2 linked regions of the Macaca fascicularis genome follow. The protein of the gene in region 2 interacts with the protein of the main gene of each other region in a biochemical or structural test. Links are inferred from orthologs where the notes say so. Each region holds a gene or a part of one and is shown on either strand. Other genes may lie near its edges.

The links.
Region 1: the proteins of USP8 (region 2) and STAM2 form a complex in vitro, tested with the Homo sapiens proteins (3 studies listed by BioGRID, with this or other methods). The link is inferred for Macaca fascicularis from reciprocal best matches to the Homo sapiens genes USP8 and STAM2.

What each region holds. Positions count from the first base shown.
Region 1 is NC_088386.1:47,650,633-47,657,930, forward strand, and holds part of STAM2 (signal transducing adapter molecule 2), read right to left. Parts: intron 6,753-7,298; exon of another isoform or gene 6,740-6,752; intron 3,148-6,739; coding exon 2,994-3,147; intron 394-2,993; coding exon 224-393; intron 1-223.
Region 2 is NC_088381.1:26,903,186-26,911,132, reverse strand, and holds the start of USP8 (ubiquitin carboxyl-terminal hydrolase 8), read right to left. Parts: upstream 5,379-7,947; 5' UTR 5,016-5,378; intron 1-5,015. UniProt on the Homo sapiens protein: Hydrolase that can remove conjugated ubiquitin from proteins and therefore plays an important regulatory role at the level of protein turnover by preventing degradation. Converts both 'Lys-48' an 'Lys-63'-linked ubiquitin chains.

The sequences.
Region 1 (7,298 bases), on a different chromosome or scaffold from region 2:
ACAATTAGCTTTATTTTGTCCCAGGGATGCAGACTGTAAGCTTAAGGGCAGGCAATAATCTCAGTATGGGTAGCAAAGCTAAGGTAACACCATTCCACTTCACAGGATTATGAATAAACAGCTCTGTAACTTCATCTTAATAAGGGTCTATATATTCCCATTCTGAAAATCTAGGAAAATTAACACATATAATTATAAAATTAGCACAGCTCCCAAAACTTACCTTAAATATGAAGTTTGAGCAGGCTGTGTTGTCACTGAGGAATTCACATTTGGAGGCAGAGATCTCAGTGGACCAATCTGATCGGGTCCTAGGCTATAGCTTTGGGCAACAGTTACTTGGTGAATGCTCTGACCCATATAGTTTCCACCATGTGATTGAACTGGATATGTCTATTAATCAGAAAGAAAAAGTTGATTCATGAATCTCCCAAACTTGTGCCTAATAATATATTTAAAATGTTAAAAGACTTAAAGGAAAGAAACTATATGTCTTTGGGAAGCAATCTGATTCTACCAATCTATCCATCTTAGAACTAAAAGTGGTGAGCTGTCAAATCACAGTGCCATATCTATGGAAATTTGATTTGTTTGGCTGTTCTTTTATTTTTACAGAGAGCTGGGAGAAAGACAGGTGGTATACTTTTAAGTAGTGGATTGCCATCTATCCAGGTTGCCTATTACTCAGTAAACATGTCTTGTTGTAGAGCCACAGAAAACTGTACACTCCCTTGAAGGGAAGCCCACCATCACTTAAAGTCACTATAAGAATGATAACCTTCTTTACCCTCATCCCAGGATGACTCATCCAACTCCTTCCTAAGAATGAAACTTAAAAGAACAAGCTGAAAAAGAAACGGTATAAGGATGCCAGGGCTTCCCTGGCAATGTCTACTTTATCTCTTACCTTTCAGACAAACAGGACAAAAGTAAGGAAGAGTTATTGGTAAAAGACATGTATCCTCAGGAAAGAGCAAAAATGGTTTAGGTCTCTTTGGACATTTATATGTGCCCTACTTATTTTCAGGACAACAGCTCCTTAAGGACAGGGTCTACCACCTGTCTACTATATATAGCATCAAAACAATGCACACATTTAATATCATATCATACCATAATGATCATCAATCCAGTTTTAAATTAAGCTATTTTTTAAAGCAAAGACCATTTATCTGAAAATTTAGAATGCTAGAAATCCCAAATAAGCTATATTAAGTACAATCACATTACCTCCTTAGTAGACATGTAACAATCTACTGACAATAGGCTGAGACTGTGAGAATCAGCTTCTTCTGCAGTTTAGGGTTCCTGAGTAGCCTACACAGATACAACTAACTTGTTACCCCAATTGCTTCTAGTAGAGATGTATTTTTGTCAAATTAGAATAGAAACTTTTGAATATTTCAAATGCTCGAGTGAATAGTGTAGATACAGATTATGTGAGGAATCAAACAGAAAGTTAACTTTTCAGAGAAATGAGTTGTGCTTGGCAAAATGCAGTAAGCAGAATTCAAGTAAACACCGAAACCTGACACAGAATAGCAAATAACCCTTTACAGACACATAAAAAAGCCAACATAGGCCGGGCACGGTGGCTCAAGCCTGTAATCCCAGCACTTTGGGAGGCCGAGACAGGCAGATCACGAGGTCAGGAGATCGAGACCATCCTGGCTAACACGGTGAAATGTCTCTACTAAAAAATACAAAAAAAAAAAAAAAAAACTAGCCAGGCGAGGTGGCGGGCGCCTGTAGTCCCAGCTACTTGGGAGGCTGAGGCAGGAGAATGGCGTGAACCCGGGAGGCGGAGCTTGCAGTGAGCTGAGATCCGGCCACCACACTCCAGCCTGGGTGACAGAGCGAGACTCCGTCTCAAAAGAAAAAAAAAAAAAAAAAGCCAACATAGTTTTATCATACAACGATGCAGACACTGCTTTTTGTCCCACTTTCACAGCAGCAGCAAACAACTCTGAAAACAGAAGCAAACTGAGTAACTCCCAAATGTCTTTTGCAGCCAGAAATCTTTCTTACCCTCCTAATTTTCAAAAAGATCAAGGCATGGCACATTTGATAAATGTATCTTGTCTGACGTGACAGTTACCATAGTGACTATTCTTTTTTTACTTAACAATTACGTTGTGTCAAGTCATCTAAATTATTCACCCACATTCTACCCTTTCTCCTTGGTGTCTCCTTCACATGTACCTTTAGATACCAGTGTTCATAAATTAACATGCATTTTGCTCATCCAAGCTCATTCTGAATTCAATTGGCTAACTGGCTGAAATTTCAAAATGCTTCTGAATGGGGATACTGACAAATATAAAGTATTCACTTCATATGGCAAGCACACAAAAAAGGTGAAAAGTACTGGAAAAAGATGGCTTACGGATGTTCATGGATGGCTTATGGAGTCTGTACCTCCTAGATGTGTATCATATCTTTGCTATGCACAAATTTTTAACAATTTAAGTCATGCAGCTAAGTAAAGGAAGTATAAAGCATACTCTAGAAGTTCATTGTGCCTGTTAATAATCATGTGAGTCAAATAAATCTTTATGGAAATTTGTAAAGAAATGTTAAATCTTGTTGAGCAGCAGCAAAGTCTTGGTACCTGGGGAACTTCTGATATGCTAGGTACCATCCGAAATCAAAGGATTTATACTCCACATTTACAAAAAGGATTTATACTTACATAAAAGATTTATGCTTTATACTTACAAAAGCATATGAAGAACCAGAACTACCCTCACATACTTAATGGTCTTTTCATCCATGTTAAAACTGAACTATAATGTATTTGTGAAATGTCAGTATCTGTCTAAGTTGTTCTGGTGAATGTTAATTGTTCAGTCAATATTTACTGAAACAATCAAAGATAAATTTTATAATTTTATTTACATACAAAAGAAATCTTAATACTATGCTGTAAAACACTTTCTTTTACTTTAAAACTTGTTTATAATTTAGAAAATGTTCTCAAAAAACATGCTCACCTGCATTGGAACCCCGGATGATGCAGGTGGGTAATGTGCTGGAGGGTGGAGCTTTGAATAGACTGAGTACACTGGTGCTTCATTCACCAATTTGTTATATAGTTCCAGAGCTTCCAGGACTTTTACATTCAATTCAGACAATTCTGAATGCTTCCTGATGTAGAAGAAAAGTATTATAATACTCTTCTAGTTTTTAGCATCTGTTTAGTGATATGAATTATTTTTTAAATTTAGCACAATTTCTATTCATATATCAAAAGGCTATTTTATATTTAATGAAAGAATATTCACAAAGGGAAACTGAGAGGAAGAACTGCTTAATCCTTGTAATAGCTAGCCTGATACTAAGGCAGGAAAATAGGGTCTGGAGGCAGGGAATCTAAGGCTGTTTTTCAAGCTGACTTCTTGTAACTACACTGAAAGGAAAACCAACCCTAACTTTCCACACCTAAGTAACAAAAGGACCAGAGGCTGCTCCCTTTGCAAACTCCCCACGTTTTCTGTGCAGCAGATGGGAAATTGGGTGTCCGAAAAAAATCAGACTGATTACAAGTCCAGTCTTCCTTTGCAACTTTGTAACTTCAGCCTCCGAACGGTTGCTGTCCACAACCAGCCTCTGAATGGCTGCTCCAGCCTCTGAATGGTTGCTGTCCACAACCAGTCAGACTGACTGTGGGCGGAGTCTTCCTTTGCATACAAGCATAATTGTAACTTCTCCCTAGCCTCTAATTGGTTGCTTTTTGCAACCAATCAGATGGTTGCACAGCACTGTGACCTTTGTAACTTCATTTCAGCCTCTGGTTGGCTGCTTTCTGCAACCAGACTGATCGTGAGCTTCCACTTCATTTACATGAGGTGAGCATGAAGCGGCCAATGGGAAACTTCTAGGGGGTACTGTACTTGGACCCAAGAAGGTTCTGTATCCGGGTCCTTCAGCTGCTGCTCAGGCCCACTCCCACACTGTGGGGCGTACTTTCGTTTTCAATAAATCTCTGCTTTTGTTCTTCTGTTGCTTCGATCTTTCTTTCCTTTGCTGGGCATTTTGTCCAATTCTTTCTTCAAAATGCCAAGAACCTGGACAACCTGCAGTCACAATCCTCTACCAGTGACAAAATGACTTTATAATATTAGGGAAAAGTCCTTTCCATGCCTCATAAAATGCAATCAATTCACAATTTTGGTGCTGAGAGAATTTACTTTCACACATTCCAGTTTTATTTTGAGAATTCAATTATTAAAAAGAAAATTCTCAATTTGGGTAAGAATCTAGGCCTGAATTATAAATCTCAATAAAAGAAAGTACCCACGCAAGGCCCAGAACCTCTATGAAGTACACGATATGATGGAAATTTAAAAACACTTGTTAAAAAAAAAAAAAAAAGCCGGGCGCGGTGGCTCAAGCCTGTAATCCCAGCACTTTGGGAGGCCGAGACGGGCGGATCACGAGGTCAGGAGATCGAGACCATCCTGGCTAACACAGTGAAACCCCGTCTGTATTAAAAAATACAAAAAAAACTAGCCGGGTGAGGTGGCGGCGCCTGTAGTCCCAGCTACTCGGGAGGCTGAGGCAGGAGAATGGCGGGAACCCGGGAGGCGGAGCTTGCAGTGAGCTGAGATCCGGCCACTGCACTCCAGCCTGGGCGACAGAGCGAGACTCCGTCTCAAAAAAAAAAAAAAAAAATCACACACATTTTCATTTGTTTATATCCATAAAAATATCAACTGAAAAAAAAAAACCTACTTAAATAATTACCCTTGAAAATCCAAGTAAAAACAGTGTGTAAGACTAGTCTCTACAGCTCGTTTGTTGGTTGGTTTATTTTGAGAAAGTAAGTAAACCAATACTTTATTATGTAGTAACAAAAAATCCAAATAAAAGCATCTTCAAATATGACCAAGAAGCTTCAGAGCAGACTCTTCCTACTTGAAACAATTTTGTCTGTTCCCCTGGGAGTAATAAAGAACTCTCTTTGCACTGTCAAATTTATAATAGTTAAGCAACCACTTTTCATCTGGCCTGAAACATCCACAAGCCTTTTTATTGAAATGTGGTTCTTTCTACATAAACACAGAGAGGCAACAAGCAGAGGCACACAGACACAGGACTACCAAGTAAACAGCCACTGAGTCCTATCAAGATTTGTCACTTTTCTTCTATTAGTCTTTTATGTCTGAACAACAACAACAAAAAGTTTGTTCCCTCTCTGGTAGGAATGACTGCATTAAGCAGGTCAAACTTTATTATCAAAAATAAGAGTTACGAGCCACCCAGAAAGCTACAGAAATTAGTGCCATGCTAACAAATGCATAACTAAAATTTATCTGTAGGAAATCCACAAAACCCAGTATGTTGATGAAACAACAGAAAAATGCAGTAGAAAGACATGATCACTGTGTTTGAAATCCCCTGAAAGATTTGAGACACAATCCCAGAGTAATAAGGCAAAAGAGCAACTTGATCAGATGGTAGAAAATGATCTTTGGAGGACAGGAGGAAATAAGATTAGAATAGTCTGGAACATAGTTAAGGCCAGACTATGAATCTCTCTTCAATAAATCTACCTAAACTTTTTTGGAGTCAATTTACATGTTTACTCAATATAATTTCTTAGGGTGATAAAATGCTACAAAATTTCATTCTGTAAAATGACAGAAATGAAATGTACAATTTAACTTTCTAACAATAGAGTTGTTTTTCTGAGCAGGAATAACAAACCCAATGATCCATTCAAGGGAAAAATTGGTACTTTATTCATCTCTGAATACTTGACAAGGGTAAATAACAGTCAATAAGAATTTGTTGAAGAACAGGAAACATTTCCCAGAACAGGAGCTGCATCTGCAGCTGTGGCCATGGAACAAGAAAAAATGCCAGTTGGCCTATTCAAAAACTGAAACTGGTAAGAAAACTGGTTAATGATTGAGTTCTCACTCAAAAAATTAACTACCATCAGAATGGTCACTTTGATTTTTTTTTTCTTTTGAGACAGGATCTCATTGTGTCACCTAGACTGGAGTGCAGTGGTGCAACTGTGGCTCACTGCAGCCTCCTTGACCTCCCAGGCTCAAGCAATCTTCCCACCTCAGCCTCCTGAGGAGCTGGGACCACAGGTGCATACCACCAAGCCCAGCTAATTGTTAAAATTTTTTTTTTTAGAGATGGGGTCTCACTGTATTGCCCAAGCTGGTCTCAAATTCCTGGGCTCTGATGATCCTCCCACTTCAGCCTCCTGAAGTGCTGGGATTATAGGTGTGAGCCCCCACACCAGCCTCACTCTGACTTCTAATTCTTCTAGATCTTTTCCTTTAACAAAATTATTTTTATGAACCAAAAATAAGATTAAATTGTCATAGCTTCTGCCTTTTTTCATTATATATTATAATATCTGTTCATATCAAGGGATAATTATCAAGGACAATGATATTCATTGTAGAATGTGTGGACACACACTCAGTCCTCCATGTCCATGGGTTCTGCATCCGTGCACTCAACTTCAAATTGAAAATACAAAACATTAAAAAAAATTGTGTCTGAACTAAACATACAGCCACATCTATAATACTTTTTAATCTTTTCCAGTTTGATTATTCACTAACCATTAACATCCTGCATTGAAACAAAGTAGATGTGTAAGGAGATATTTAATGCTTTCTCTAAAATATGGCAAAACTACTGTCAATTGACACACAGATTTTTCATTTCTTTAGAAAACACATTTATTTTTAAAATGTCCCCTGGAACAAAGATGACAATCTCTGGTGACTAGGAAAAGTCCTGCTGCTACTGCACTTCTCTGGTAGAGGCAGAAAAGAAGTAGTTTCTGTTCTCCTTATTTTGGCCCTATCTAATCTCTTTTTCTTGTGCTGTTTATATATTAATTCAATAAATACCACTAGAGACGGATGATGATGGAATACTAAGCCCTATCCCTTGTTTTCCTTTCACTAAGGGTTCTCTCTCTGACTTCAGATAGAGAGCTGAGAAACAAGGGAGCAGAACCAAGTCAAAAGCTCAACCTTGAAAGTCTACCCTTCAGTGTTGCTGCTATTTTTAAAGGACAATAAGGGCCAGACACAGTGGCTCATGCCTATAATCCCAACACTTTGGGAAGCTGAGGCAGGAAGATCACTTGAGGCCAAGAGTTCGAGACCAGCCTGGGCAGCACAGCAAGGCCCTGTCTTTAAAAAAAAAAAAAAAAAAAAAAAAAAAAAGCTGGGTGTGAGGCTGGGTGCAGTGGCTCACACCTGTAATCCCAGCACTTTGGGAGGCTGAGGCGAGCGGATCATGAGGTCAGGAGTTCGAGA
Region 2 (7,947 bases):
ACCTACCAAAATTTTAAAAAATCATTTTCATTTTTAAAATTCTGTAACTGAGAAATTAAAATAACACCTCCAGGATTCTTATGCCCACAACTTTTTTTGTTTTGAAATTGGTATTATAATGTGTAATTATTTCATTTCACACTATTAAAAAGACATGTGGGTTCACATGATTATTGGTGTTTCAGAATTCAGTGCAGTAGTTCCCCTTTATCCACGGTTTCACTTTCCATGGTTTCCGCTACTTGCAGTCAACCACAGTCCAAGAATATTAAATAAAAAATTCCAGAAATAAACAATTCATAAGTTTTAAATTGTGCACCACCTCACTTCGCCCAGCCTATGACATGAATCATCCCTTTGTCGTGTATCCACACTGTAGATGCTACCTGCCTGTTAATCACTAAGTGGCTGTCTCAGTTACCAGACTGACTATAGCAGTATTATAGCGCTTGTGTTCAAGTAACCCTCATTTTACTTAATAATGGCTCCAAAGTGTAAGAGCACAGATTCACATATGCCAAAGAGAAGCTGTAAACTGCTTTCTTCAAGCGAAAAGGTGAAAGTTCTCAACTCAGTAAGAGAAAAAAAAAAAAAACAACTCATGCTGACGTTGCTAAGATCTACGGAAAGATCTTTTTTTTCTGCAAAACTGTGAAGAAGGAAAAAGAAAATTTGTGTTGGTTTTGCTGTCACACCTCAAGCTGCACAAGTTATGGCCACAGGGCATAACTTTTATTACACTATATTATAATTATTCTATTTCATTATTAGTTATTGTTGTTAATCTCTTGCTTCTAAGTTAAACTTTACCATAAAAATGTATTTATAGGGAAAACATAGTATATATAGGATTCAGTACTATCTGTGGTTTCAGGCATTCACTGGAGGTCTTGAAACATATCTCCTGCAGATAAGGGGAAGACTGCTGTATTACTAAAAACTAAATTGTAGGCTGGGCGCAGTGGCTAATACCTGTAATCCTAGCACTTTGGGAGGCCGAGGTAGGCGGATTGCCTGAGCTCAGGAGTTCACGAACAGCCTGGGCAACACAGTGAAACCCTATCTCTATTAAAACAAAAAAAATTAGCCAGACATGGCGGCGTGTGCCTATGGTCCCAGCTACTTGGGAGGCTGAGGCAGGAGAACTGCTTGAACCCGTGAGACGGAGGGTGCAGTCAGACAAGATTGAGCCACTGCATCCAGCCTGGGCGACAGAGCAAGACTCCGTCTCAAAAACAAACAAACAAACAAAAAACGAAATTGTAATGTGTTAGTCAAAAGAGACAAGGCTTAGTTAAGCCATATTCACTATACATGAGAACTGTTTTACTTGAATTAGTATGGTATTAGTCAGGTGTGGTGACGTGTGCCTGCAGTCCTAGCTACTTGGGAGGCTGAGGCAGGAGGATCACTTGAGCCCAGGAAGCAGAGGTTACAGTGAGCCAAGATCATGCCACTGCACTTCAGCCTGGGTGACAGAGCAAGACCTTGTCTCAATTTAAAAAAAAAAACAAAGGGCTACATGCGATGGCTCACGGCTATAATCCCAGAACTTTGGGAGGCTGATCACCTGAGGTGGGCAGATCACCTGAGGTCAGGAATTCAAGACCAGCCTGGCCAACATGGCAAAACCCTATCTCTACTAAAATACAAAAATTAGCCGGGCGTGGTGGTGGGTGCCTATGGTCCCAGCTACTTGGGATGCTGAAGCAGAATTGCTTGAACCCACGAGGCGGACACTGCAGTGAGCCAAGAACACATCACTGCACTCCAGCTTGGGAGACAGAGCAAGACTCCGTCTCCAACAAAAAAAAAAAAAAAAAATTAGTATGGCTATAAATGTAGAATTCTAAATAACTTTAATATAATATGTCATCATTCAGTACTAGTAAATTCTATATTATGGAACTGTTGCAGGCCTTACTTTCCATTTATTAATCATATGACTTTCAACAAATTCCATAAATCACTCCCAACATGACCACCACTGCTCTTCAGTTTACTTTCATCTGCAAAATGAAACAGGAATGATTTGTCTGCTTCTATAGGGTGACCATAGGTATCAAGTGAAAAAATATACAAAAACATGTTTTGAAAACTGTAACATGCCGGCCGGGCGCGGTGGCTCAAGCCTGTAATCCCAGCACTTTGGGAGGCCGAGGCGGGTGGATCACGAGGTCAGGAGATCGAGACCATCCTGGCTAACATGATGAAACCCCGTCTCTACTAAAAATACAAAAAACTAGCCGGGCGTGGTGGTGGGCACCTGTAGTCCCAGCTACTTGGAGGCTGAGGCGGGAGAATGGCATGAACCCGGGAGGTGGAGCTTGCAGTGAGCCGATATCGTGCCACTGCACTCCAGCCTGGGCGACAGAGCGAGACTCCGTCTCAAAAAAAAAAAAAAAAAAAAAAAAAAAAAGAGAACTGTAACATGCCATTAAAACATAATGCATTATGGTTAAAGAAATTGGAAATGGGTTGGGCGCAGTGGCTCACGCCTGTAGTCCCAGCACTTTGGGAGGCTGAGGCGGGTGGATCACAAGGTCAAGAGATCGAGACCATCCTGGCCAACATGGTGAAACTCCATCTCTACTAAATACAAAAATTAGCTGGGCGTGGCGACATGCTACTTGGGAGGCTGAGGCAAGAGAATGGCATAAACCCAGGAGGCAGAGGTTGCAAAAAGCCGAGATCGTACCGCTGCACTCCAGCCTGGCGACAGAGCAAGACTCCATCTCAAAAAAAAAAAAAAAAAAAAAAGAAAAGAAATTGGAAATTGGAAGCATACCTTATTATTCATCTGCTATATAAATGCAAACAAGAGTCCAATACAACTTTGTCATCAAAATTACAGTAGACAAAGCATGGCCACAAATTCTTTGACATTTTTCCCTTCAAAAGTGAGGGTTGGATACTGGTCTGACTGCTCTAACCAACAGAGTATGTTGGAAATAATGTTGTGCCTATTTCTGGGTTCAGGCTTTTTGGGAGACACGCAGCTTCTATTTCCTGTCTCCTCAAACATGTATTCTTGGAACCTAACCACCATACTGTTCACGTCAGAAGTTCAAGTCACGTGAAGAGGCTATGTGTGGGCATTCCAGTTGACATTTCCAGCTGAACTCCTAGCCAACATCAACTGCCTTCACATGAATTAGCCATTTTGGATGTCCAGACCAGCTGAGCTCTCGGATGACTCCAAACTCAGCTGCTTATCTGAATACAAACGCATTAAAGTCTAGGTGAGAACCACTTAGCTAAGTACAGGCAGGCCAGAGAAACAGGAGAGATATAAATTATAGTTTTAAGCCACTGTGTTTTGGAGTCATTTGTTACGCAGCAATAGGTAACTGGGACAACAACAAGGTATTTTTTAAATGTTTCCTTAATTATTTCTAATTTTATTAGCAACACATCCTTGAAGACTTTTTTTCCTTTCACTTCCGTAAATATGAGCGCATTTTCATGTAGAAAAGTTCATAATAAAGTATAATGCTAGACTTATGAAAAAAATTTAATGTACTGGTTTTATTTTCCAACTGTCTTACTCAAAAGTCATTTTGATTATTTTCCATTATGTCCACGCTTTTTATTTTAATTTTTTGAGATGCAGTTTTGCTCTTGTCACCCAGGCTGGAGTGCAATGGTGCAATCTCAGCTCACTGCAACCTCTGCCTCCCCGGTTCAAGCGATTCTCCTGCCTCAGCCCCTGGAGTAGCTGGGATTACAGGCGTGTGCCACCATGCCCAGCTAATTTTGTTTTTTAGTAGAGACCAGGTTTCGCCATGTTGGCCAGGCTGGTCTCGAACTCCTGACCTCAGGTGATCCACTCTCCTCGGCCTCGGAAAGTGCTGGCATTACAGACGTGAGCCACTGCGCCCAGCCACGTCCACATTAATAAACAAATGCCCATAATGATTAATAAAGTCCAAGTAAATATATTAAAAAATGAAATGCTAAAAAAGTCACCTTTAAAACATTTTTGTTAGTTTTTCTTATACATTGTTTTCTAAAAAAAATACATGCCTATGTGCAAAATTTCATTAATGACAGGTGTGTATATATATATATATATTTTTACTACTACAGGGTCTTCACTATCTAATATTAAAGATGCATCCAATGTGTCACAAGAAAAGGAATACCTATTTCAAGGCAGCCATATCAACATGATAAAGACATAACACAACCGATATCACCTTCCAGATATGCTTAATGGTCCAGGGATATGTTGTAAGGAGAAACTACCCAAATCCATCATGAATGACATTCACCAACGAATCTTAAACAGAATCGGCTGAAATGCAAAATCTGCTTACATGGCAAAGCCGCAGCAGAGCAAGCCTAAAACAGGAACACTTCCTTAACAAATAACCACTTGGCATTTTTAATGGCTGCAGCAAGATATTTACAAAACTAAGGATGCTTCGCAGATTCAGAAAAGGTAATATCCTTTAGATACAAATCCCTTTCATCTGAAACCCTCAGGTCTCTTAAATTCTAAATTCCTTAGGCTCTGCAACACCTCCGTGTCAGGTAAATATTTTGTTAGTGATTAAGTGACTTGTTCAAGGTCACAGAATGAACTGGAGGCAAGAAATAAACCCAGGAGGGTGGTCTGCAGCTTTCTATATAAATGCACATCGCTGCAAGTAAGGATTCCGATAATTTCCAAGGTGGAGTGGCGGCGAAATTAACTTGTCCCACAACTCTAGGTTGGAAGGCACTTTTTAGGGGGGCGGGGAAAAGCTTCTATTTGAGGCAGTCATAGTTTTAACTCTGATAAGCTTATAGGGTCTTTAAACTCCTACTTCACTAAAATGAAGTGTGACTAGGGAAGAGGAGAAACTGGGAAACAGTTTTAGGAGCTGTAGTAAGGCCTGGGATTGTAGGCAGATTGCAGAGAGTAAAATAAAAAAAATAAAAAAAACCAAAAACAAAAAACCGGAAGCAAGAGGAAAGAGGTCAAAGTCGGGTATAAGTGTCCAAGAGAACGGAAGAATGGTCAAAGCCACCTTTTAAAACCGAAAAACCGCACGAAACTCGCTTGGCAATCCTAGATGGGTGGCGTAAAAGACTCAAGGTTGGGCCCTTCCTCTCCACAAGCCGGTTCTACCTTTCGGAGTTGTCCCACTCCTCTCCGCGGACAGGGCTTGTCTCCCGGGTGACCAGCAGCTGGTGGAAGGAGAGGGGGTTCACAGCGGACGACTTCCCAGAGGACAGGTGCCAGGGCCCAAGACCCGCACTCACCGTGACGCCCGGCGCGCTTCACTAACGCCAGCCTTCTCGCCAAACGCCCATCTCCCAAGAACTCGAGGGAGAATTAGCCTTGGCTATCAGGACGGAAGCCAGCCCAGCTCATCCCCTTTTCCCGATTTGCATTGCGAGGCGACGCGTCGCGTCTCCAGACGTCACGGTAGGGGCTGGGCTTCGCGTGCGCTCCTTGACTTCTCTCTTTCACCGCCCTCCCCCTTTCGGTGAGGGCCGAGCGGCGGGGCGAGGGAGGGTTGAGGGAGGGTCGAGGAGGACGTTATGGGTGGGCGGCGGCGGCAAGGGCGGGATTTCTCTGAGCCGGATCAACACAGTCGGCCGGTTCCGTACCCCCCGCACTGCACCCTGCATTTCCGGGTTGCAACCGGGCGGTAGCCAAGCGGCCCAGGTTCGCTTCGCATTCTGGGCCTTGTGGAAGAAGCGAGGTTGCTCTTGCATCCCTTTACTACGTTATTTTCCTCCTCAGATTGGAAATTAGAAAAAACTTAAAAGGGGATTTAACGCCCCTCTATTTCTGTCTTAACATTCTCTGAAGCCAAGCCTTTCTTTGGTCAAAGAAAAACAGGTATTATCCTAAAACATATTTTATGTACAATTTTTAACGTCATTTAAAAGGCCCTGTCGAGGCCGGGCACGGTGGCTCACGCCTGTAATCCCAGCACTTCGGGAGGCCGAGGCGGGCAAATCATGAGGTTAGGAGTTCGAGACCAGCCTGGCCAATATGGTGAACCCCCCCCCACCCCCCATCTCTATTAAGAATACAAAAAAATTAGCTTGGCGTGGTGGCGCGCGCCTGTAATTCCAGCTACTCCAGTGGCTGAGGCAGGAGAACTGCTTAAACCCGGGGAGGGGAGGTTGCAGTGAGCCGAGATCGCGCTGCTGCACTCCAGCCTGGGCAGCAGAGCAAGACTCCGTCTGGTTGGGGGAAGGCCGGTCTAACAGAAACGAAATGAGAGGTCTGAACTTTCTCGCGAGCTGATCTTTGTACTCTCTTAGAGAAAGGTGATTGGATGCTCCGGTTATCTGTAAACATAAAATTGATTTGGGTGGAGCTTTAGGCAGTAGTCACTAAGGCCTCAGGAACACTCCGGGTGTCTTAGGGATGGGAAATCTGGCAGCAAGATCTAGTAGACGTAGGCCGGGCGCAGTGGCTCAAGCCTGTAATCCCAGCACTTTGGGAGGCCGAGACGGGCGGATCACGAGGTCAGGAGATCGAGACCATCCTGGCTAACACAATGAAACCCCGTCTCCACTAAAAATACAAAAAAATTAGCCGGGCGTGGTGGCGGCGCCTGTAGTCCCAGCTACTCGGGAGGCTGAGGCAGGAGAATGGCGGGAACCCGGGAGGCGGAGCTTGCAGTGAGCCGAGATCGCGCCACTGCACTCCAGCCTGGGCGACAGAGCGAGACTCCGCCTCAAAAAAAAAAAAAAAAAAAAAAAGATCTAGTAGACGCTTTTAAGTGAAAGTGTGTGCCACATTGTACAGTGTACACTGCTCGGGTGATGGGTGCACCAAAATCTCAGAAATGACCACTAAAAAACTTTTCCATGCAACCTGTTACCCCAAAACTACTGAAATGAATTTTTTTTAAAAGGATAAAATAAAGTGTGTTCAATGAATTTGTAATGAAGGCCAGTTTCAGTGGCCCAGGCCTGTAATCCCAGCACTTTGGGAGGCTGAGGCAGGAGGATCCCTTGATCCCAAGAGACAGAGACCAGCTTGAGCAACAAAGGGAGACCCCCATCTCTACAAAAAAAAAATTTTAAAATTAGGCTGAGTGCGGTGGCTCATGCCTGTAATCCCAGCACTTTGGGAGGCCGAGGTGGGCAGATCACTTGAGGTCAGGAGTTTGAGACCAGCTTGGCCAAAATGGTGAAACCTCGTCTCTACTAAAAATACAAACATTAGCTGGGCGTGGTGGCGCGCACCTGTAATCCCAGCTACTCAGGAGGCTGAGGCAGGTGAATTGACTGAACCAGGAAGGTGTAGGTTAGATCATGCCACTGCACTCCAGCCTGGGCAACAGAGCGAGACTCCTCCAAAAAAAAAAAAAAAAAAAAAAAATCTAAGTTACAAATAGCATTTCCGTTTTCCATAGAATCTAAAACTCCCCAAAATTTCTGTGAACTACAGCAGTATTTTCTCCACTTGGTAAGAGACATAAGGACAGCTTAACTACCCTTCTTTATCCAAACTAAGTTAAGAACAGCCCAGGTTTCCTGATTCTCACTCCCAAGTAAAACTAAATAGGTTTTATGTATGTTGCAGCTGTTGCACCCTTTTCCTCTTTGAAATAAAACTTTTCTATTTGTTTGGGGAAAGAAAACATGACTGAAAGTCCAAAGTGTTAGCTTAGAGCTCAAAACACTAGCTGCTGTTTCAAGGTCCAGTCTCCATGTGGACGGCTCATGGCCTGTTTAAATTGTTGCCATAAGGAAATGGGGCAGAGTGTTGCCAATTTTCTGATTTTCTGTGCGTGGGAAAAATCTCCAAACTGCTTTTTAAATTTGGGGAATATTATATATATATATATATATATATGTGTGTGTGTGTGTGTGTCAACTAACGTAATCCATATACACACGAATTGTTAGTTGACAACAACAGTATACATAAAAAAATTTACAAACACTGCAAAACAAATAAAATCCAAGCCATCCATTTGTGACCACAGT